Stegostoma tigrinum: one gene and its partner. The protein of the gene in region 2 purifies or fractionates together with the protein of the main gene of each other region. This does not show direct contact. Links are inferred from orthologs where the notes say so. Each region holds a gene or a part of one and is shown on either strand. Other genes may lie near its edges.

Region 1 (10,231 bases), on a different chromosome or scaffold from region 2:
AATGTAAATATTAAATTGGCTACCAGATGCTTTTACTGGTCGTGTACAAGACAAAATGTGCCCAGAAACCATAACCACTCTCCCCTACATCAAAGACATTTTGGAAATGACTGCCAGACGACACGAACCTCTTGGCATCAGGGTAACCCACAAACCTACCAACACACAAACAGCAGCTAATGAACTTAAAAGACCCTATACAGACAACAAGCAAAACGAATGTCATCTACAAAATACCTTGCAAGAACTGTGACAAACAGGCAGAAAGCTAGCCACCAGGATACACGAACATCAACTAGCCACAAAACGACATGATCCACTATCACTAGTACCCTTACATACAGAGGAGGAATGACACCACTTTGTTTGGGACAACACATCCATCCTAGGACAAGCCAAACAGAGACATGCACGAGAATTCCTAGAAGCATGGCATTCCAACCGGAACTCCATCAACAAACACATTGATTTGGAGCGCATCTACCATCCTCTGAGAAAAAGAACAGGAAATGACATCACCAACCCAAGGAAACCTGAACAGAAATAGAAAGCGGGACATAACACCAGTGCTTCACCGATGATGTTACCTAGAATGGCGACGAAACCTCTGAAAACGAATCTTCCAGCTCAGCGAGCAAACTCACATCCAGTGTTTAGTAACACAGAGAATCACAGAATCTGTGTAGTTGAGATAGAGACCTATCGGCGTTTTGAGTTTGCAACAATTTTCCAAGGAGCATTCCACTCTATACCCACATTTACCATGGTTAACCCACCCAGCCTGCACACCAAAGGGCAATTTAGCATAGCCAATACACCTAACCCATACATCTTTGGACTACAGGAGGAAACCCATACATACATAGGGAGAACAGAGGAGAGGTGGCTTGATAGAGGCGGACAAAATGATCAGCGTTATAGATACAGTAGACAACCAGAGGCTTTTTCCTAGGGTGGAGGTAGCTTTTACAAGGGGACATAGATGTAAAGAGAAAGGAGATAGATATTGGGGAGACGTCAGAGGTAGGTTGTTTACTCAGAGTGGCAGAGGCATGGAATGTATTGCCGGAGAGGATAGTGGAGTCAGCCTCATTAGGGGCATTTAAGCAGCTATTAGATAGGCATATGGATGCTAGTATAAGGTAGGGGTGGAGATTAGATAGACCTTAAGTTTCAGTTAAAATTCAGCACAACATCGTGGGCTGAAGGGCCTGTACTGCGCTGTACTGTTCTACATTCCACACTCCACACAGACTGGAATCAAAGCTGGGTCCTGGTGCTGTGAGGCAGCAGTGTTAACCATTGCGGTTTCAGTAGTGTAAAAAAAATGGTGATTTTGGTTGTGGAAAGATTGCTCAGTTGCAAGTGATAATACTTAAGTAAAAAATGAACGCAAAAAAAGAAAAACTGCCATAGTCCAAGCAATCCATAGAGCTACTCTGGAAAGAGAAAGAGAGAAGAGAGATGATTGGTGGAGGTTTAACAAGAAGGTCACCATACCTCAGGTGAGGGGCAAGCTTGAGAAAGGACCTTCTTGGTAACCTCAGTCAGAGCAGGAATTGAACCTGTGATGTTGCCACCATTGCATGTTGTAAACCAGCCAATTGAGCAAACTGACCCCTGTTGTCATCATGAGGGCATTTGTACAAAGACCAAAAAAAATTGAGAAATTTTAACCACCTGAAAAGTGGACTACAGCTATATTTGTGTTAAATCATATCAAAACCTAATCAAATTGTGGATTTAGAATAATGTACACTACAGAAGTACAGCTCTTATCTGGCCCATAGATATGCTCTGTGGACATAACCCAGGAAAGTAATGGGTTCATTTACTGGTCTGTGGTGAATTAGTTGGCTCCACCAACAAATACACCAGGTGTGGTCTCAGAGCTCTGATGTGGCAGAAATCCACGTGCTCCCATTCACGCTGCATTTGCATGACTGATCTATATTGAACAGCTTTCAATTGATTAGCAAGAGTTCAACTGGAAATGGTTATCTATTTTGTGTAAAATGTTCCAGCTGTGAATTTACATTTAATTCAAAATTTTTAAAAATACACATGGCCAATTTACTTTCTGTTGTTGCTCAGCTTAATATCTAACATGTGATGGTTCTCAGACCACCAAAAAAACAATCAGGTGGAGCTAAATGAATTGTTTTCAAAGACCTTTATTTTCTATGCATCCAACAGTATGCTTTCTAATCCAAAGGAATGGGTGCACATAATTTTAATATTCTGTGAGCTTTGCACTATGATGCAGAACAACCAGAGTTGCAATTATCATAGATAATAAATGTGAGGCTGGATGAACACAGCAGGCTAAGCAGCATCTCAGGGGCACAAAAGCTGGCGTTTCGGGCCTAGACCCTTCATCAGAGAGGGGGATGGGGGGAAAGGAACTGGAATAAATAGGGAGAGAGGGGGAGGCGGACCGAAGATGGAGAGTAAAGAAGATAGGTGGAGAGAGTATAGGTGGGGAGGTAGGGAGGGGATAGGTCAGTCCAGGGAAGACGAACAGGTCAAGGAGGTGGGATGAGGTTAGTAGGTAGCTGGGGGTGCGGCTTGGGGTGGGAGGAAGGGATGGGTGAGAGGAAGAACCGGTTAGGGAGGCAGAGACAGGTTGGACTGGTTTTGGGATGCAGTGGGTGGAGGGGAAGAGCTGGGCTGGTTGTGTGGTGCAGTGGGGGGAGGGGACGAACTGGGCTGGTTTAGGGATGCAGTAGGGGAAGGGGAGATTTTGAAACTGGTGAAGTCCACATTGATACCATTGGGCTGCAGGGTTCCCAGGCGGAATATGAGTTGCTGTTACTGCAACCTTCGGGTGGCATCATTGAGGCAGTGCAGGAGGCCCATGATGGACATGTCATCTAGAGAATGGGAGGGGGATTGGAAATGGTTTGCGACTGGGAGGTGCAGTTGTTTGTTGCGAACTGAGCGGAGGTGTTCTGCAAAGCGGTCCCCAAGCCTCCGCTTGGTTTCCCCAATGTAGAGGAAGCCGCACCGGGTACAGTGGATGCAGTATACCACATTGGCAGATGTGCAGGTGAACCTCTGCTTAATGTGGAATGTCATCTTGGGGCCTGGGATAGGGGTGAGGGAGGTGGTGTGGGGACAAGTGTAGCATTTCCTGCGGTTGCAGTTTTTCATATATATATTTCATCATATCGGTATATATTATATATATTATAAACATATATATATATAACACATTAAATTCAAAACAAAAAGACAGTTCCACACCATCCATAACAAAAATATATAATGTATGCACATAGATTAAAGTGAAATCCTTTTACCATCCCTATTTTAATTTCAGTGATGTCCAAGTAGACCAACATACTGCATTGTGTGGCATTGAACAATTCAGATCAGCATCCTCCCAATTTTGATCCCTACTCTACGCAGTTTGTCAGTCAGCTACAAATGTTCCATTTACAATGACATCATCTGGGGCAGTAGACCAGACCTTACAGAGCGCAGCAAGATTCTAGCATTAGATCAGAGGTTTATTTTGAACTTTATAATTAACCTGTTCAGTGATGTGATGTGATTACACACCTTTGCAGCAGGTGGGACTTGAACTCGGGTCTCCTGCGCCCTTATCAGAGGATTAACAGCGATTACAGAACAGTACAGCACGTGAACAGGCCCTTCAACCCACCATGTGCCAACTATGATTCCATTCTAAACTAATCCCATCAGCTTGTACATGGCCTGTACCTCTCCATTTCCTGCCTGTTCATGTATGTGTCTAAATACCTCATAACTGTTGATATTATCTCTGCTTCTACTACCTCCCAAGGCTGTTCCATGTATCTACCATTCTCTGAGTAAAACAAAACCTGCCTCACACATCTCCTTCCAACTCCTTCTCCCCTCACCTTAAAGCAATGCCCCCGAAAATTTGACATTCTCATCCTGGGACAGAGGTACTGACTATAAATACTATCCATGGCTCTCAGTTTTATACACTTCTACCAGGTCAAGAGGATTATTATTAGTTACAGGTACAACATTTGTTTAATATTATTACCACACAGAATATGGTGGAACTACTTTGTTGCTTTTGGTTGTATTCAATATTGAGAATGCTGAAATGCCCCTATTAGTTAAATTTCTGTGATAATAGCAACGTACTGAAACGAATTAATTGCTGGTGGAATTAAAGTTCACCCCATCTTGCTTTTCACTGTTAAAAAAAACTCCAACCTTTCCTTGTGGTTTAGTCGATTATTGTAACGACAAACCATTTCTGAGATAGTGAATAACTAAGCAACACTTACCAGGAAAATCCCAGATTGCACTGAGTGTGGATTCTAACAAATTGGGAAGTGTTCCCGACTGAGGAGAGGGTTGGGATCAGTCACCGTACACAGACAACAGGTAGAAACAGGAGGTAATGGTGGACACCGTCTTCACCTCTTCACACAAAATTGAGCCAAGTGAAAACTGCAGCTGAGATCAGTGGGAGCTCACCCCAGCACATTCAGGAGAATGAGGAAAGGGAAGGCAACTTGAAACATTTCATTCACAAGTCTGATTTATCCTACCTTAAGGTAGAACCGAAGTTGATCTTAATAATTATAAATTACACGGAAGATAAAGAAATTCTCACAAAGAAAAGCCGAGTTGTGTGACTGGAGAGATACTCACTTGTATTCGCTACCAGGGTGGTAAGGAGGTGGGCTGTCGTACATTCGCCCCGACGACATGTTGACGCTATTAGGTTTAAATCCTCTGTAATCACTTATCTTTTCCAAACTCAAATCCCGCTCAAACCTTAACAAACACCAGACATACAACATCAGAATCAAATGATCGAAGCTCCCTAATTTACACAGACAGAAATTTCCAAATCAAGAATTACTGATAACTGACGTTTGTCTTTAAAAGTTGAATATAAAACCACTGATAGGCTGGAAATAGGCAATATTAAAGCATCGAGATATCAATCCTATCTCTCCTCAAAGTCTGTGTTTCGGCAAAAGTTGGGTGGAATAGTTGCTGCTCACTGTGAAACCTGACCTGCCGTGAGAGTGAGAGCAAACGTCCCCGCCAAACCCTCCCGACAATAGGCTGCACAGCCGCCAGCACCTCCCTGGAGGGGGGCGGGAAGGTGAAGTAACAGGCAGACCTCACCCTCCTTCACCTCACTACACACCAACATAAACAACAATGCAATCCTGTTGAGAGCTTCGTCTGATTCGAAACTCGCAGCTTTATCAAAACAAAATTCAGTTGTCAGTAATTGTGAACTTGGAAATTGAGGTTAGGCTTTTTTTTGGTATGTGTGTAAATTGGGGAGGCTTCGTTGATTTGCTATTTGATCAGATATCAAAAACAGAATCAATTTGTCGCATATTCTTTGTAAGTTACCTAACAGCCACGTTCACACTTATGCCGGTTTGACGTATTTTTGGTCATTCAATTGCCGTACAACGCATAGAAAACATTCAGTCTTGTTATTTAAACTGGTGTTTCCATCATCTTATTTTGTTACTTCCCCTTCAGTGGCATTTATTTCGCAAGTTTGAAGTTGCTGCAGTACAGGTGATGCGATGAGAAGGTATTTTCCCCACAACAGACAGACAGAGTGTAATGCCAATGACTCAATGGTTTGGTGAAGTATTTGTCAACAGAAACTAAGCGGCCTGGAAATCCACGTGATGAGTGCACGCCCTACCCTAATGATCAATGTCTGTTGTAGACAATCACGGTCCCCCATTCTAAAGAACAGTTGTTGCTGGACCAACTAACTCCATCTTGCAAAGGCTATGCATGCAAATACATCCACCTGTTCAAGATAAGAATCTATCGTAGTGTCAACAAGGATATTATATGGGATTGCTCAGGTCAAAAGGCAAATATTCATATGACTGCATTCAGGGCAAGGATGGCCAAATAAAGTCAGTGAATTAGATCAAATCTGAGTCTTATTAAAATTGCACTATTGCTCTACATTATGGAGTGGGGAAATTGTCTAGAGTGTTGTCACACCACTCAGACTATATTAGATTAGATTCCCTACAGTGTGGAAACAGGCCCTTTGGCCCAACAAGTCCACACCGCCCCGAAAGCATCCCACTCAAACCCATCCCACTATAACCCACACACTCCTGAACACTACGGGCAATTTAGTATGGCCGATCCACCTAATCTGCACATCTTTGGACAGTGGGAGGAAACCGGAGCACCCGGAGGAAACCCACGCAGACGTGGGGAGAATGTGCAACCTCCACACAGACAGTCGCCCAAGGCTGGAATTGAACTTGGATCCCTGGTGCTGTGAGGCTGCAGTGCTAACTACTGAGCCACCGTGCCACAATTATTCAAAATTGGTCAGTCATTAGGGTCAGGAGGGTGTGACTCCCACTGAGGCATGTATGAAGACCCTGGGGGTTGCACTTGAGGAGCCTTGGCCCCTTGCAATACAAGGTTCTCGGAAGCTCTGTTGACAAGAGTACGGATGCCAGGAAGCTGAGAAAACTGACTGCGGCAGATGAATTATGAGGTGTGACCTCATAGATGCTTATAAAATCATGAGCGGCATGGATAGGGGGAATAGTCAATGTCTGGTTGTGCAGTTTTAATCTCCGAGTCTGAGGAAGGACATTCTTGCTATTGAGGGAATCTAGTGAAGGTTCACCAAATTGGTTCATGTGATGGCAAGACTGAGGAAGGACTGGATTAACTGGGCTTGTACTTGTTGGAATTTAGAAGAATGAGGGATGATCTCATAGAAACATTAAAATCTTGATGGGACTGGACAGGCTAACTGTGAGAATAATGTTCCCAATGTTAGGGAAGTCCAGAATGAGGGGTCACAGCCGAAGAATAAGGGCAAGCCATTCAGGCCTGAGATAAGGAAGAATTTCTTCACTCAGAGAGGTGTGAACCTGTGGAATTCTCTCCCACAGGATGTTGATGGAGCCAGCTCATTACTTATATTCAAGAGGGAGCTGGACATGGCCCTTGCAGTAAAGGGATCAAGAAATGTGGGGAGAAGGTGGGAATGGAATACTAAGATTGCATGACCAGCCACAATCATATTGAATGATAGTGCTGACTCGAAAGGCTAATTGGCCTAATCCCGCACCTAATTTCTATATTTCTATGTCTTTTTCCCAGGGTAGTGGATCCAAAACTAGGGGGCATAGGTTTAAAGTGGGAGAAGAAGGATATAAAAGGGACCTAAGGGGCAACTTTTTTCATGCAGAGAGTGGTGCTTGTCTGAAATGAATTGCCGGAGGAAGTGGTGGAGGCTGGTACAATTACAACATTTGAAAGGCCTGCCAATAGATAGATGAATAGGAAAGGTGTGGAGGGATTTGGGCCAGGTGCTTGCAAATGAAACTAGATTAATTTAGGCTATCTGGCCAGCATGGATGAGTTAATGGAAGTGTCTGTTTCCATGTTGTACAACTCTATGACTCTAGGACTGTACACTTTATAAGAATAGGTGAGAAAGAATGGAAAATAGGTGTAGCATTGTGGCATCATGAATAAATCCATGAATCACAAAAAGCTATGATTCCAAGTTCAGTGGGTAAATGGGATGGCAAATGCATTGTTGGCTTTTATTCACGAGAAATAGTATATAACAGTTTGGAGGTTTTGCAATAACTGTACACAGACTAGTTAAGCCTCGTCTCAAATATGTTAAGCAGTTTTGGGCCCCTTATCTAAGGAAAGATGTAATGGCATTGGAGGCAGCCCAGAGAAGGTTCATTAGGCCAATACCAGAGATGGATGACTGTCTTAGGAGGAAAGGTTGAGTGGATTCGGCCTTTAATCATTGGAGTTCTGAAGAAGTGAGACGCAACCTTGTTGAAATATAAAAGAATCTTAAGGGACTTAACAGGGCGCATGTGGAAAGTAGTTTTCCCTTGTGGAGTAGCATAGGAGCAGTGTCATAATCTCAGAATAATATGTTTTACAATTAAAACAGAGTTGAGGAGGAATTTCTTACCCAGAGGATAATGAATCTGCAGAGTTGCTTACCACACAGGGCTGTGAAGGCTGGGTTGTTATGTATAGGGAACACTGAGACAGACAGATTTTTAATCAGTAAAGGAAGCAAGGGTTATATGGTAAAGGTGGGAAAATGAAATTGAGGATTGCCAGAATGAACACAAAGAACTGTGGATGCTGGAAATCTGAAACGAAAACAATATGCTAGCGAAACACAGCAGGTCTAACAGTACCTGTAGAGAAAAACAGGGTTAATGTTTCAGGACTGGTAACATTTCATTAAAACTGGAATTTAATGTGGGAAAATCTGAGGTTATTCACTGGAACAGGAAGAATAGAGGAGCTTTTTAAATGGGGAAACTTTGCAGAAAGCTACAGCACTGTGGGATTAGGGACTCCTCATCTATGTTTCACAAAAAGCTAGCATCTGAGTTGAGAATGATCAGATCACCCATGATCTCATTAAATGGCACAGCAGACTCAGTGGGCTGAATAGCCTGTTTCTCTGTCTTTTGGTTTTATTATCATTGATTGATCAGACACTGCTTACTTACAGGACCAGAAATACAACATTAAACATTTATTTCCCAGACCATCATGGACCCCATATCGCTGTAAACCTACCTCCCACGTCTCCAATCTTATGGCCTTCCAACTCCAGAAAGCCCATTTTTTTCTTCCTCGACGAAGAGGAAAACCATGGCAGACCGAAATGAAAACAGAAAATGCTGGAAAAACCCAGCAGAGCTGCCATTTGTGGAGAGAGAAACAGAATTAACATCTCAAGTCTAATGACTCTTATTCAGAATCGTGGTAGACGCTTCATTTCGTCAACATCTTAGCTCTTTCTTCTTGCCATTTTGACTATTTTCCTGTTTGTATTGTCTTCCCACCTATCCCTGCTACTCTTCAAATTCCCTCTGCCATTGTAAAGATTTCCAGTTCCTAACCCTGACCATTGCCATTTCATCATGGAGGAACAGCCCCTCTAAACCTTCCTCGACATGCGAGCAGTTCAACTAGTTTTCATACACCACTTCCCTCCTAGAGCACCAGCTGAGCTTGTTTATGAACTTCTCCTTAAACTTCACTCACTTCCTCCAAACAAAATATAGAACATAGAACATAGAACAGTACAGCACAGAACAGGCCCTTCAGCCCACAATGTTGTGCCGACCATTGATCCTCATGTATGCACCCTCAAATTTCTGTGACCATATACATGTCCAGCAGTCTCTTAAATGACCCCAATGACCTTGCTTCCACAACTGCTGCTGGCAACGCATTCCATGCTCTCACAACTCTTTGCGTAAAGAACCTGCCTCTGACATCCCCTCTATACTTTCCACCAACCAGCTTAAAACTATGACCCCTCGTGCTAGCCATTTCTGCCCTGGGAAATAGTCTCTGGCTATCAACTCTATCTATGCCTCTCATTATCTTGTATACCTCAATTAGGTCCCGCCTCCTCCTCCTTTTCTCCAATGAAAAGAGACCGAGCTCAGTCAACCTCTCTTCATAAGATAAGCCCTCCAGTCCAGGCAGCATCCTGGTAAACCTCCTCTAAACCCTCTCCAAAGCATCCACATCTTACCTATAATAGGGCGCCTAGAACTGGACGCAGTATTCCAAGTGCGGTCTAACCAAAGTTTTATAGAGCTGCAACAAGATCTCACGACTCTTAAACTCAATCCCCCTGTTAATGAAAGCCAAAACACCATATGCTTTCTTAACAACCCTGTCCACTTGGGTGGCCATTTTAAGGGATCTATGTATCTGCACACCAAGATCCCTCTGTTCCTCCACGCTGCCAAGAATCCTATCCTTAATCCTGTACTCAGCTTTCAAATTCGACCTTCCAAAATGCATCACCTCGCATTTATCCAGGTTGAACTCCATCTGCCACCTCTCAGCCCATCTCTGCATCCTGTCAATGTCCCGCTGCAGCCTACAACAGCCCTCTACACTGTCAACGACACCTCCGACCTTTGTGTCGTCTGCAAACTTGCTGACCCATCCTTCAATTCCCTCGTCCAAGTCATTAATAAAAATTACAAACAGTAGAGGCCCAAGGACAGAGCCCTGTGGAACTCCACTCACCACTGACTTCCAGGCAGAATATTTTCCTTCTACTACCACTCGCTGTCTTCTGTTGGCCAGCCAATTAAAAATATGTTGCTCAGTTCTCTTTAACCTGTGGGCTAAAGTGCCACATGGCACCCTGGAAGTTCCCACACAGACTGAGCATAAGTCA
Region 2 (10,872 bases):
AATATGAACCTCATATACCAGCTGAGTAGCAAAGCACAATAACAAGGATGAAGTAATATGAACCTCATATACCAGCTGAGTAGCAAAGCACAATAACAAGGATGAAGTAATATGAACCTCATATACCAGCTGAGTAGCAAAGCACAATAACAAGGATGAAGTAATATGAACCTCATATACCAGCTGAGTAGCAAAGCACAATAACAAGGATGAAGTAATATGAACCTCATATACCAGCTGAGTAGCAAAGCACAATAACAAGGCTGAAGTAATATGAACCTCATATACCAGCTGAGTAGCAAAGCACAATAACAAGGCTGAAGTAATATGAACCTCATATACCAGCTGAGTAGCAAAGCACAATAACAAGGCTGAAGTAATATGAACCTCATATACCAGCTGAGTAGCAAAGCACAATAACAAGGCTGAAGTAATATGAACCTCATATACCAGCTGAGTAGCAAAGCACAATAACAAGGATGCTGTGAGTAACCAGGTAGACTCAGAGTGATTGTACACTAACAGATTGAATGAAAAGTCTGGAGATACAAGCTGGTTCAGGCCATGAGGTGGGTTGCGTCTGAGTGTGCAGGTCCTTACTGTAGCATTACAGTGATCTTGCTGATACAGCATTGAAGTATCTTGTAAGTGTATCTTCTGAGATGTGTCTTGCAGGTTCTAAGAGCTAGCTCCCACTGGACATGGGTTGTTTGTGGCCAGTGTCCGCGGAGCATTCCCTGAAAAGTGGTGCCAAGTGTCTAACATGGAGGTTGTTTGAAGCATGCTGAATAAGCTCACCCTGGTTTTCTTGTTGAGGTTTCCTGACATTGAGTTGTTTGGCAAGTTTGGTAAGAAGGGAAACTAAATATTTATGAGGTGAGTTCGACTGTTACCAACATGTTTAACAAACAGTAGTCCCTGTCAATGGGCAACTCGCCTTTGTTGAGCAAGAATTTCACCACACCACTTGTGAAAATAATATTAGATCGTGAGAATTGCTCCCAATATCAAGATGGGTCTCACTGTTACCAACGTGTTTAACAAACAGTAGTCCCTATCAATTGGCAACTTGCCTTTGTTGATCAAGAATTTCACCACACCACTTGTGAAAATAATATTACATCGTGAGAATTGCTCCCAATATCAAGATGGGTCTCACTTCCTGATGCTACCACATAACCTATCTTAGTCCATGTTACCCCTATGTTTCTTTTGACTAAATGAAGGAAATGACATTCTTGCTTGACTAACTTATTTGAAATTTTTGAAAAGGTATCTGAGATGTAATCGATGGAATGAAGTTGTGTAATTTATCTGGCTTTTCAAAAGGTCTTCAATAATGAGCCCCCAATTAATGTATAAAAGAAGTTAAAGATTATGGAATCTGGGGATAAGTGGCAGAATGGACCATGAACTAGTTTAAAAGCAGTAAGCAGACAATGGGAGTAAAGGTTAGTCATTCACAGTAATAAAAGTTGGGAAATGGTGTTCCGCAAGAGTACGTGTAGCAGCATTGGGATTTATGATTTGGACTTTTGATCAAAATATTTTCTCTAAATTTGCATATTATACAGGGATAGTCAATACTTCAAAGGACTGTAATAAATAGTAAGAAAATATTCATAAACATGAAGAATGGGCAAATAATTTGCATGTTAACATCAGTGCTGATATACATGAGCAGGGTAGAAAAATTAAGGACTTATTACTTGGTAAATGAAAGTCTAGGTAGGTTAGAGCAACAAAAGGATCATGGAGTACAAAAGCACCAATCACTAAAAGTTGTCACAAGTTATTAAGGCCACCAAACCAAAACCAGGTGGCATAACGTGAGATAACAAGGTGTAGAGCTGATTGAACACAAAAGGCCAGGCAGTATCAGGGGAGCAGGGAGGCTGACTTTTTGGGCCCAGATCCTTCTTCAACGAAATGTCAGCCTTCCTGCTCCTCTGATGCTGCTTGGACTGCTGTGTTCATCCAGCTCTACAGCTTGTTGTCTCAGATTCTCCAGCATTTGCAGTTCCTATGATCTCTGGCATAAAGTCAGCTTTCTTCTGAAACCATAGAATTGAAATGTGGTGAAGCTTTTTTGTGTATCTGTATTAAATCTTGGAAGACCATAATTGCAGTCCTGGAAGAATGTGCACATGTAGTGAAGAGGGTGAGAAGAAACTTAACAAGGATAATACTGCAATTCCTGCTCAGATCAGATCATATCCTATAATTTCAGGTTAAAATTTTAAAATAGAAAAAAAAATTGTTTTGACAACCCACCATTCAATGAGTTTTTTTCTGCATAATGTCCTCTCACAAGAACATAGGAAATAAGAGCAAGACTAGGTTATACTTTCAGCTGCACTATTCCGTGAATTGATAGCTGATTCTCATTTTCAACTTCACTTGCCTTCCAGAGCCTCAATTCACTTAGAAACCAAAAGCCCATTGATTACATCCTTGAACATACTCATCAACTGAGCATGCATGGTTCCATGAGATAGAGAATGACAAAGATTTTCAACCGTCAGAAAAAACAAATTACCCCCCATAAGAGTCCTTTCTGTCCAACCTCTTATCCAGAGAATGTGATGCCTAAGTTCTGGTGTCCTTCCAACATTGACCCTGTCTAATCCCCACTGAAATTTTTACTCAGCCTAAAAGTATCAACTTCCTCGTACTCATTTGGAATTGATTTTCTTCCTACTCCATTAGAATTCTGGTTTCAAATGCTTTGATCATTACGTAAGAATTTGTTTTATTCTTTCACAGTATGTGGGCATTGTTAGCCAGGTTAGTGTTTGTGCCCTGGCCAATGGAAAATGCACCAAAAAGAAATAATGTATTTTTTGAAAGTGTAAGGATAATTGAATGAAACGTTACAATACATTTACAAATGATTCTATATTTAATTAGATGCATAGTATTACATGATTCTGTTTTGATTTTACATCTAGTTGAGTTCCATGACTCACCTTGATTCTAGTTTTCAGCTTTCTTTATAGGAACAATCCATTCTAACAATGCAGAATTTACACCTTGTCTGCACAAAACATCAGTTCCAATAGGAACTAAATATATTTGTCCTAATGCCAAGTCACTGATCCGAACTTTTTCTTTCTTTTTCTCTCCGTAGATACTGCATGATTTGCTGTTTCCTTTATTTTCTAGTTTTACTTTAGATTTCCAGCACCCGCTGTACTTTGAGAACATCTCTCTTGTGAGAGAAGGCAGGAAACCACAGCAAGTTATATCTGAAATACTTGTGGTTTAAGAGTTTCCTGCCACATTCCCACTGTCACTTAGATTAGTGACATCAAATCAACCAGCAAAGCCTGAATGCTGTATAGATTCTGCTTTTGCTTTAGTCTTGTATTAAATTATATTTTAAGTACAGCATCAACTGGGAAAACAAACTATAAAAACTCTTAAGCTGAATCAGCAATATGCAAACAGGAGGGGGATTGCACAACATAGGTATCCCCAAGGTAGATGTGGTCTTAACATGAATTAATTTTGCATTCAGTTTGAGGGAAAGAAGGGTTTGTCTAAGACAGTTATTTTAAACTTAAGTAAGAGCATTTATTAGAATTAGTTGAGGTACTGGGGAATTAAGTTAAGGGGTAGATCTGTGGAGATCTGTACAGATACAGTGGCAGAAATTTAAGGAGATATTTCAGAACAATTAGAACAAAGATGCATTCCAGTGAGAAAAATTTTAAGGGTAGAATACACCATCTGTGAGTAACTAAGGAAATACTTAAAGATAGTGTCCAGTTGAAAGAGAAAGAATACAATTCCATCACGATTAGCGGTAGGTCAGAGATTAGTCAAAATAGTGCTTAGAGACATCAGGATACTTATATATAATACATGGGATAATGGCATCGAGATAGAAGAACTGCCATTATCTCATTATATGACAGAGCAGGTTTGATAAGCTGAATGGGTCTCCTGGGCTGAACCATCTCTCATTTCGGCCCTCATGCTCTCTCTTCTCTCCCACAACAAGGACAGGGTCCCCCTACTTCTCACCTACCATCCATCAGCATCCACATACATATGATCATTAGCTGCCATTTCACTACCTCCAATGGGTTGCCTCTACCACACGCACATGCCCCTCCCTTTCATTGTCAGCCTTCTTTAGCGACTGTTCCCCCAGGGACACCCTGGTCCACTTCTTCACTCCCAACATGGCCCCCAGGGCACCTTCCCCTGCAATCACAGAAGGTGTAACACTTACCTAATTGCTCTCTCCCTCCTCACCATCCAAGGCGTGAACACATCTTCCGTTTGAAGCAGCCCTTTACCTGTTTCACTCAATCTAGTCTACTGCATTATCGGCTGCTTACGATGTAGTCTCTATACTGGGGAAACGAAGTGCAGACTGGGTGACTGTTTTGTGGAACACTTATGGTCTGGCTGCCAAAATAACCCTGAGCTTCCAGTTGTCTGCCACTTCAACATGCCATCATCTTCCTTTGCCAACATCTCTGTCTCAGGTTTGCTGCAGTGCTTCATCAAAGCTCAGTATAAGCTGGAAGAACGGCACCTCATTTTCTGCTTGGGAACTTTGCAGCCTTCTGAACTCAATATCGAGTTCAACAATTTTGGAGCTGGAGCACCTTCTCCCATGTCCTTACTCCAAAAGCCACACACCTGGCCTTGTCATCACATGGGCTGTGGAAAGAAAGACGGGGGTCAATGGACCCAAACATTAACTCTGCTTTCTTTCCATGGGTGCTGCCAGACCTGCTGAGTTTTTCCAGCAATTTTTGTTTTATTTTCTGACCTCCTCCCGTTTCTATTTTGCATGTTTTTATGTAAAAAAGAAGCAACAATGACGAAGAGAATAATGAGGAGGGAGAATTTTTATGGGAGTACAAGAGAATAAATGCTGGAAATATAGAACAGATATTCCACATGTCTGGGGAATTAATGAGGGAGAATAAGCAAATAGAAGATGAATTCATCAGATTTTGTGTTTGTCTTCACTGCAGAGTACACAAATAACATTTTCAAAATAATTGTAAATCAAAAGTTGAAAGGGAGGAAAGAACTTAAAAAATATTATCACCAGGGAAAGGATGTTAATAAAATTATTGGAACTAAATTAGCACAAGTCCCCAGGTCCTGATGGGCTTTGTCCAAGGATCTTAACATTGATGGCTGCTGGATGTATTGGTTTGAATTTTGAATAAAGAAGATTTGTTACTGAAAAAGTCCCACCACGTTGAAAGATTATGAATTTGACTACTCTCTTCAAGAAAGAAGGGAGATAGGAAGCTACAGGCCAGTCAGTTGTCATGGGGAACATGCTAGAGCCTTGAAGTAGTGGTAGTACAACAATTGGAGAAAATTCTGAAGGACAGGTTTAATCTCCACTTATGAAGGCAATTTGATTAGGGATAGTCAGCATGGCTTTGTCAGAAAGAAGTAATTGTAACAAATTTGACTGAACTTTTTGAGGAGGTGACCAAGTGTGAAGATGAGGATAATACAGTAGATGTAGTTTATATTGATTTTGGCAAGTCTTTGACAAGGACGCACATATGGAAGGCTGATAAAGAGGATAAAATCACATGGGAGCCAGGATAACTTGGCAAGTTGGATCCAAAATTGTCTTCATAGTAGGAGACAGAGGATGGTGGTAGAAGGCTATGTGAGTGGAGATCAGTGCACAGTATTTATCTACAATCACAAACAACAAGGTAGACCAATATTCATGGAGGCGTGGAAGAGCGAGTGATAACTTGGGTTGTGTACGACACAAAAGGTTGGCTTCGTGGTTAGCAGTGAGGAAGAAGTTCTTGGGCAGCTGGAACTTAACCGTGATAAATGTGAAGTGAGGCCTTTTGGAAGAAGTAACTTGGGAGTACTCTGGGAAACTCAGAAGAACACAGGGTTCTTGCATGGGTGTACACGGATCCCTGGGGCAGGAGTTCGGTGGGGAAGCTAGAAACCGAGCCTGGAGTTCGAGCCCGGAGCTACAGACCGAACCCAGGGGCTGGATGCCAGTGATTGATCCTCTTCGTCGTGCGCGCGGCTCCACCATCGAAGCCGAAGCCGAGACGCGCGGGGAAACTGGCCCCGCCCCTCTGCCATCAACCAGTAAAAAGGGGGCGTTACCATATGACGAGCCGGGTGTGCTCCTATTGGTTGGTGCTGAGAGTCCCGCGGCCTTGTTGTTTTGTGCTTGTGCAACCGGCCACCGGAATTCGGGAGGAGACTGAGGATAGTCTCTTCGAGCTCAGAGGGCACGGGGAAAGCTTCGATTGAGTGGCTGTTTTCTACTGTCGCACTAGAATGCTCGCTTCCAATCTGTGAGGAAAGGCAGTGTAGCTGAGCGAGGTCGGCGTTTGTGCTTTTCCTTCAGAGAACTACGAAAACAAGATGTCCGCCCGGGTGGCCGGAGCAATGGGCAAGGTATGTGGGGGTGGAGCGGGGGGCGAATGAAGAGCGAGGAAAGAGGAGGGATGGGGACAGGAGGAGAGAGAGAGTGAGAGGACAGTTTGGGTAAGCGGGAGTTTTGGCGGAGGTGGTGAGTTCGGGATAATTGTGCAGGGAAAGGCTGAAAGTTAGCGGACGTGAACCTACTGTAGTTGGTTAGGGCAGGGGGAGGTGGAGGTGAGGCAGTGGAGTGCGAGGGTGCGTAAGTGAGGAGATCAATAAAAGGGCGGTGGTGAAACCCCGTCGACGAGACAGATACTGGTCTGTTCGTCTTAGGCTCTGTCTGGAAGTTTCCGTCGGCATCCTGCCCTGACACTGGAGGACTTTGTGCTTGCGAGAAAGGCGGGGGTATTGGGTACGACATATCAGAGGGTCCGCCAGGCACACGGCCACTCTGGTCAGGCTCTACCACGGAGTGGGCCAATGACGAGGGAATTGATAGACATTAACCGCATCTTAAGTCTGGGTTCAGTTCCTTGTCATCTCTCTTTACTGCCACCGACATTTAATTTATTGCTGGGTCTAGTTATCGCGAATGTATCGGTTTACAAACTTTCACTTTGCTGTTTGAGCTTAAAGTCTTTCCCGACATTTTTGGAGATCAGAGAGTTGGCATTTTCTTCGTAAGAAGACTTTTGGCCAGGACTTCGTTGTCCTAAAGTGAGGTCTGGTTTCAGTTCGATGATGAAACTTTTTGGTATGCAGGAGAGGAGAAAGGGTGCAACGAATATTTCTGCTGTGTAACGCTGGTTAAATCGTCATGAAACTAATAGACAGATGTATTGAGTTTCCACTGACAGGCGGCTGCGAAAGCACAGATCTGAGTTAGTTTGTGCTTGTACGTGTTAACCGACCTTGGATACTTTTGAGTTGAACTCGATGACAGTGAGCTGCAATATTAAATTCGTTTTCTTGTACTATCTGTTATTAAACTGAACAAAAGCCCTTTGAAAATATAAAGTATTCAGATGTTGCATGGTCAATACATTCTTAGTGAAGTGATATTTTGAACTTGAAAAGTATGGTCTATGTAGTAATCGAATTTGTTTAACCAAGTTGAAGAATTGATTTCAACTTTGGGTTTTTAGGGGCGAATGGTGATACTCCAGTCTGATAAACTCTTGTCTTAAGTTTCTGTATTTGCAAATCAATTTCATGGGGTAGGGGATGTATTAAAATTGTTCATTCTGCGCAGACAAGCTGTAAATACATGCAAGTCCTGCCTTAGTTCATTTTGCAAAAGCTGGCATGTCTATAAACACTTCAAGGTAGTACAAGCAAAGAGAGATCTTGAATTGAAAACATGGAGAAATGCGACCACAAAACCAAGTTTTAAAAAAACGAGAGGTCGTGGCTTCTGTGAATCAGGAACAAGAACAGAAGTTGCTGGAAAAGCTTAGCAGTTTTGGCAGCATCTGTGACTCTTCAGACCAGTACCTGTTGTGTCAACAAGGATCCACCACTGCCCTTTTAGATCTGATATGGCTCTTTGAAACAAATGCTCCAATGTTCATAGAACTTGGCTTTTATTTGAGAAATGTAGCAAGATTTGAAGAGTTCAGGGAAATCAGTGTGTTGGAATGTGGTGGATAAGGAGCTCAGCAGGCTGGAGTTCCCAGTGTGGATGGTATAAGCTGAGACCTAAAGTTGCATCAAAGCATAAATATAGTTGTAGGTGAGCATTCTGCAGGACATACCTTGGATGAAGCATGTAGAATTGTAATAAATTATAATGCAACTGCATTTGAAACAAATAAATACATTGGGTTCTTCAGAATTGTACTGTTTTGCAGTCAGTTTTAAGAATAATATGATTTGGAAACATTATCTGTCTACAGTCACCAAGTCAGGAATAACTTGGCTGGTACAAAGTGAATCAGTCAAGTTACCCCCCCAGAACGCATCTTTTGTGTCACTTGTTTCTCCTTCAGGAAAATGCAGGTTTCCTGTTTTTGCTGCATGTTTAGTAGCAACTTTACAATTTTGGACTGATGCCCACGAGAAGCCAAGTTGAAGACTAAGGTTAATTCCAAGTAAAATCTATGTATCTAATTGGAAAGGAGAGGCTTTAATTCAGTCTTGACAAGATGTAATATGTGTTGATGTGAGTGTAAGAGTGGGGTACCAAACCCAATGAATGTTCCACAACCTCAATTATATGGCACAGATATTACATTATTTTTCAGCTTCCTGTTTGGCAATGGTAAATGCACCAAATTGCTTGGTTTTGTTTTAAACATCGATTTCAGAGAAGTTAGTTCTACGAATATTAGCAACACAGATCTCTAAACAATATATTTCAGCACTTGCCTTGTGGAAATGATGCTTGCGTTTGGGACTGAGTGCATTCAGTAATTTTGGCAACCTCCTGTAAAGTAGCATGGACCCTACCTTTTCGTATCAATGTTTGAGTACTGTGAGTGAAACTGAAATTATTTCAGTTTCCAGTGTCACTTCCTGTAATTGTGTAAAACTGCAACAAAATTCAACAATGGCAACAACTGACTTTTTTTGTATGCAGCTTGTAATGAAGGTAAACATTCCCAGACACTCTACATGGATGCATAATAAGAGGAAAACAGAGGCAAGAACAAAGAAGGCAGAGTTAGTCAGAGTCATAGATTCATAAAGCACGGAAACAGACCTTTTGGTCCGACTCGTTTATGCAGAGCATGTTCCCAAGTTAAACCTGACCCATCTGCCTGCATTTGAACCATATCCCACCAAACCTTTTCTAGTTGTGTACTTATCTAAATGTCTTTTAAATGTTCTGACTGTACCACTTCCTCTGGTAATTCATTCAATACATGAACCACTCTGTTTAATAAAATGTTACCCCTTGTGTTTTTTTTAAAGTTTTTTTTTCCTTGCGCATTAAAAAAGTCCTCGTTTTGAAATCCCCAACAGTAGGGGGTGGAAAAGAACCCTTGCTGTTTACCTTGTGCCCCGATGATGATTATCTAAACCTCTCGAAAGTCACACTTCAAACCTGTTGTGCTCCAGTGAAAATAATCCTAGCCTAACCAGCCATTTTTATAGCTCAAATCTTTCATTCCTGGCAACATTCTGGTAAATTGTTTCTGAACCCTGTCCAGTTTTAAAATAACCTTGCTTGGCAACCAGAACTGCGTACAGTATTCCAGAAGAAGCCTCACCAACGTCTTGTGTAACCTCAATATGACATCACAACTCCTAGATACAAAGGCCTGAGTAATGAAGGCAAGTGTGTTAGATTAGATTACCTACAGTGTGGAAACAGGCCCTTTGGCCCAACTAGTCCACATCGCTCCTTGAAGCACCTCACCCAGACACATCCCCCATAACCCACACACCCCTGAACACTTATTTAGCATAGCCAATCCACCTAGCCTGCACATCTTTGGACTGTGGGAGGAAACCGGAGCACCTGGAGGAAACCCATGCAGACGCGGGGGAGAATATGCAAACTCCACACAGACTCCCGCCCAAGGCTGGAATTGAACCTGGATTCCTGATGCTGCAGTGCTAACCACTGAGCCACCACGCCGCTCTATGTCGCCTTAGCCACCCTGTCTAGCCGTGACACACATTTCAATCAGTAGCTTAGTCAAAAAAGTGGATTTCAAGGAGGGCCTTCAAAAGGAAAGTATTTAAGTGGAGATGTTTGAGAATACCAGAAGAAGGGTCCTGGTCAGCACTGAAGAGTGCGCATCAAAGGCCCATAAGGGCATGACTTGTTTCATAGGGAAAATAGATAATGGGGCTTACAGAGGCCAGAACCATGCAAGAATACCGGGATGAAAATGTTAGCTTTTGACTACTGGATACCGTCACCCCAATGTTGACTGAGGGGGGCGGGGGTACTGGGTTTTGTGGAACTTGTTGCAAGTCAGAATGTTGGCAGCTATGTTATGAATCAGGTAAATTTTATATGGGTAGAGGATGGGAAGCCAGACGGTTGAGCTGTGGAACACTAAAGTGTGGATACAATTGTTTGGGATCTCAGCTGCAGTTGCACTGAGCTAAGGGTGAATGAGGCTACAGAGATGAGAGCAGGTGTCTTTTGTGGTGAAGAGAATATGGAGATAGTGAAGAGATTGAGAGAAATAGAACTGGCTGTAATTTCATCTCGTCTGTGGATGATCTTACAAATGATAGTATGTAAAGTAGAGGGCACTAGGACAAATGTTCACTGGCCTGGGAAGTCATGCTGTAATGGACAAAATGATAAGCTACAGATGAGCTTGCCTACCAGTTGATGTGAGACAGTGGAGCCAAATGAGGACAGGTGAACTTTAGGTGACGATGTCAAAGGCTGCAGAAAAGTAATTGTGGCAATAAAGGAAATATGATTGGAGTGATTCAGACATGTTCTGCAGAAAAAAAAGTGGGCATGAATTTTAGTAGTGACGAAGTGGTAAACTTTGAATGAGAAAAGGAGGTTAG

What was found.
Region 1: the proteins of tjp1a (region 2) and oclnb purify together in Homo sapiens (affinity purification with western blotting; 4 studies listed by BioGRID and IntAct, with this or other methods). This does not show direct contact. The link is inferred for Stegostoma tigrinum from reciprocal best matches to the Homo sapiens genes TJP1 and OCLN.

Annotation. Positions count from the first base shown.
Region 1 is NC_081356.1:101,345,364-101,355,594, reverse strand, and holds the start of oclnb (occludin b), read right to left. Parts: upstream 5,026-10,231; 5' UTR 4,812-5,025; coding exon 4,660-4,811; intron 1-4,659. UniProt on the Homo sapiens protein: May play a role in the formation and regulation of the tight junction (TJ) paracellular permeability barrier.
Region 2 is NC_081389.1:26,743,593-26,754,464, reverse strand, and holds the start of tjp1a (tight junction protein ZO-1), read left to right. Parts: upstream 1-6,158; 5' UTR 6,159-6,390; coding exon 6,391-6,423; intron 6,424-10,872. UniProt on the Homo sapiens protein: TJP1, TJP2, and TJP3 are closely related scaffolding proteins that link tight junction (TJ) transmembrane proteins such as claudins, junctional adhesion molecules, and occludin to the actin cytoskeleton.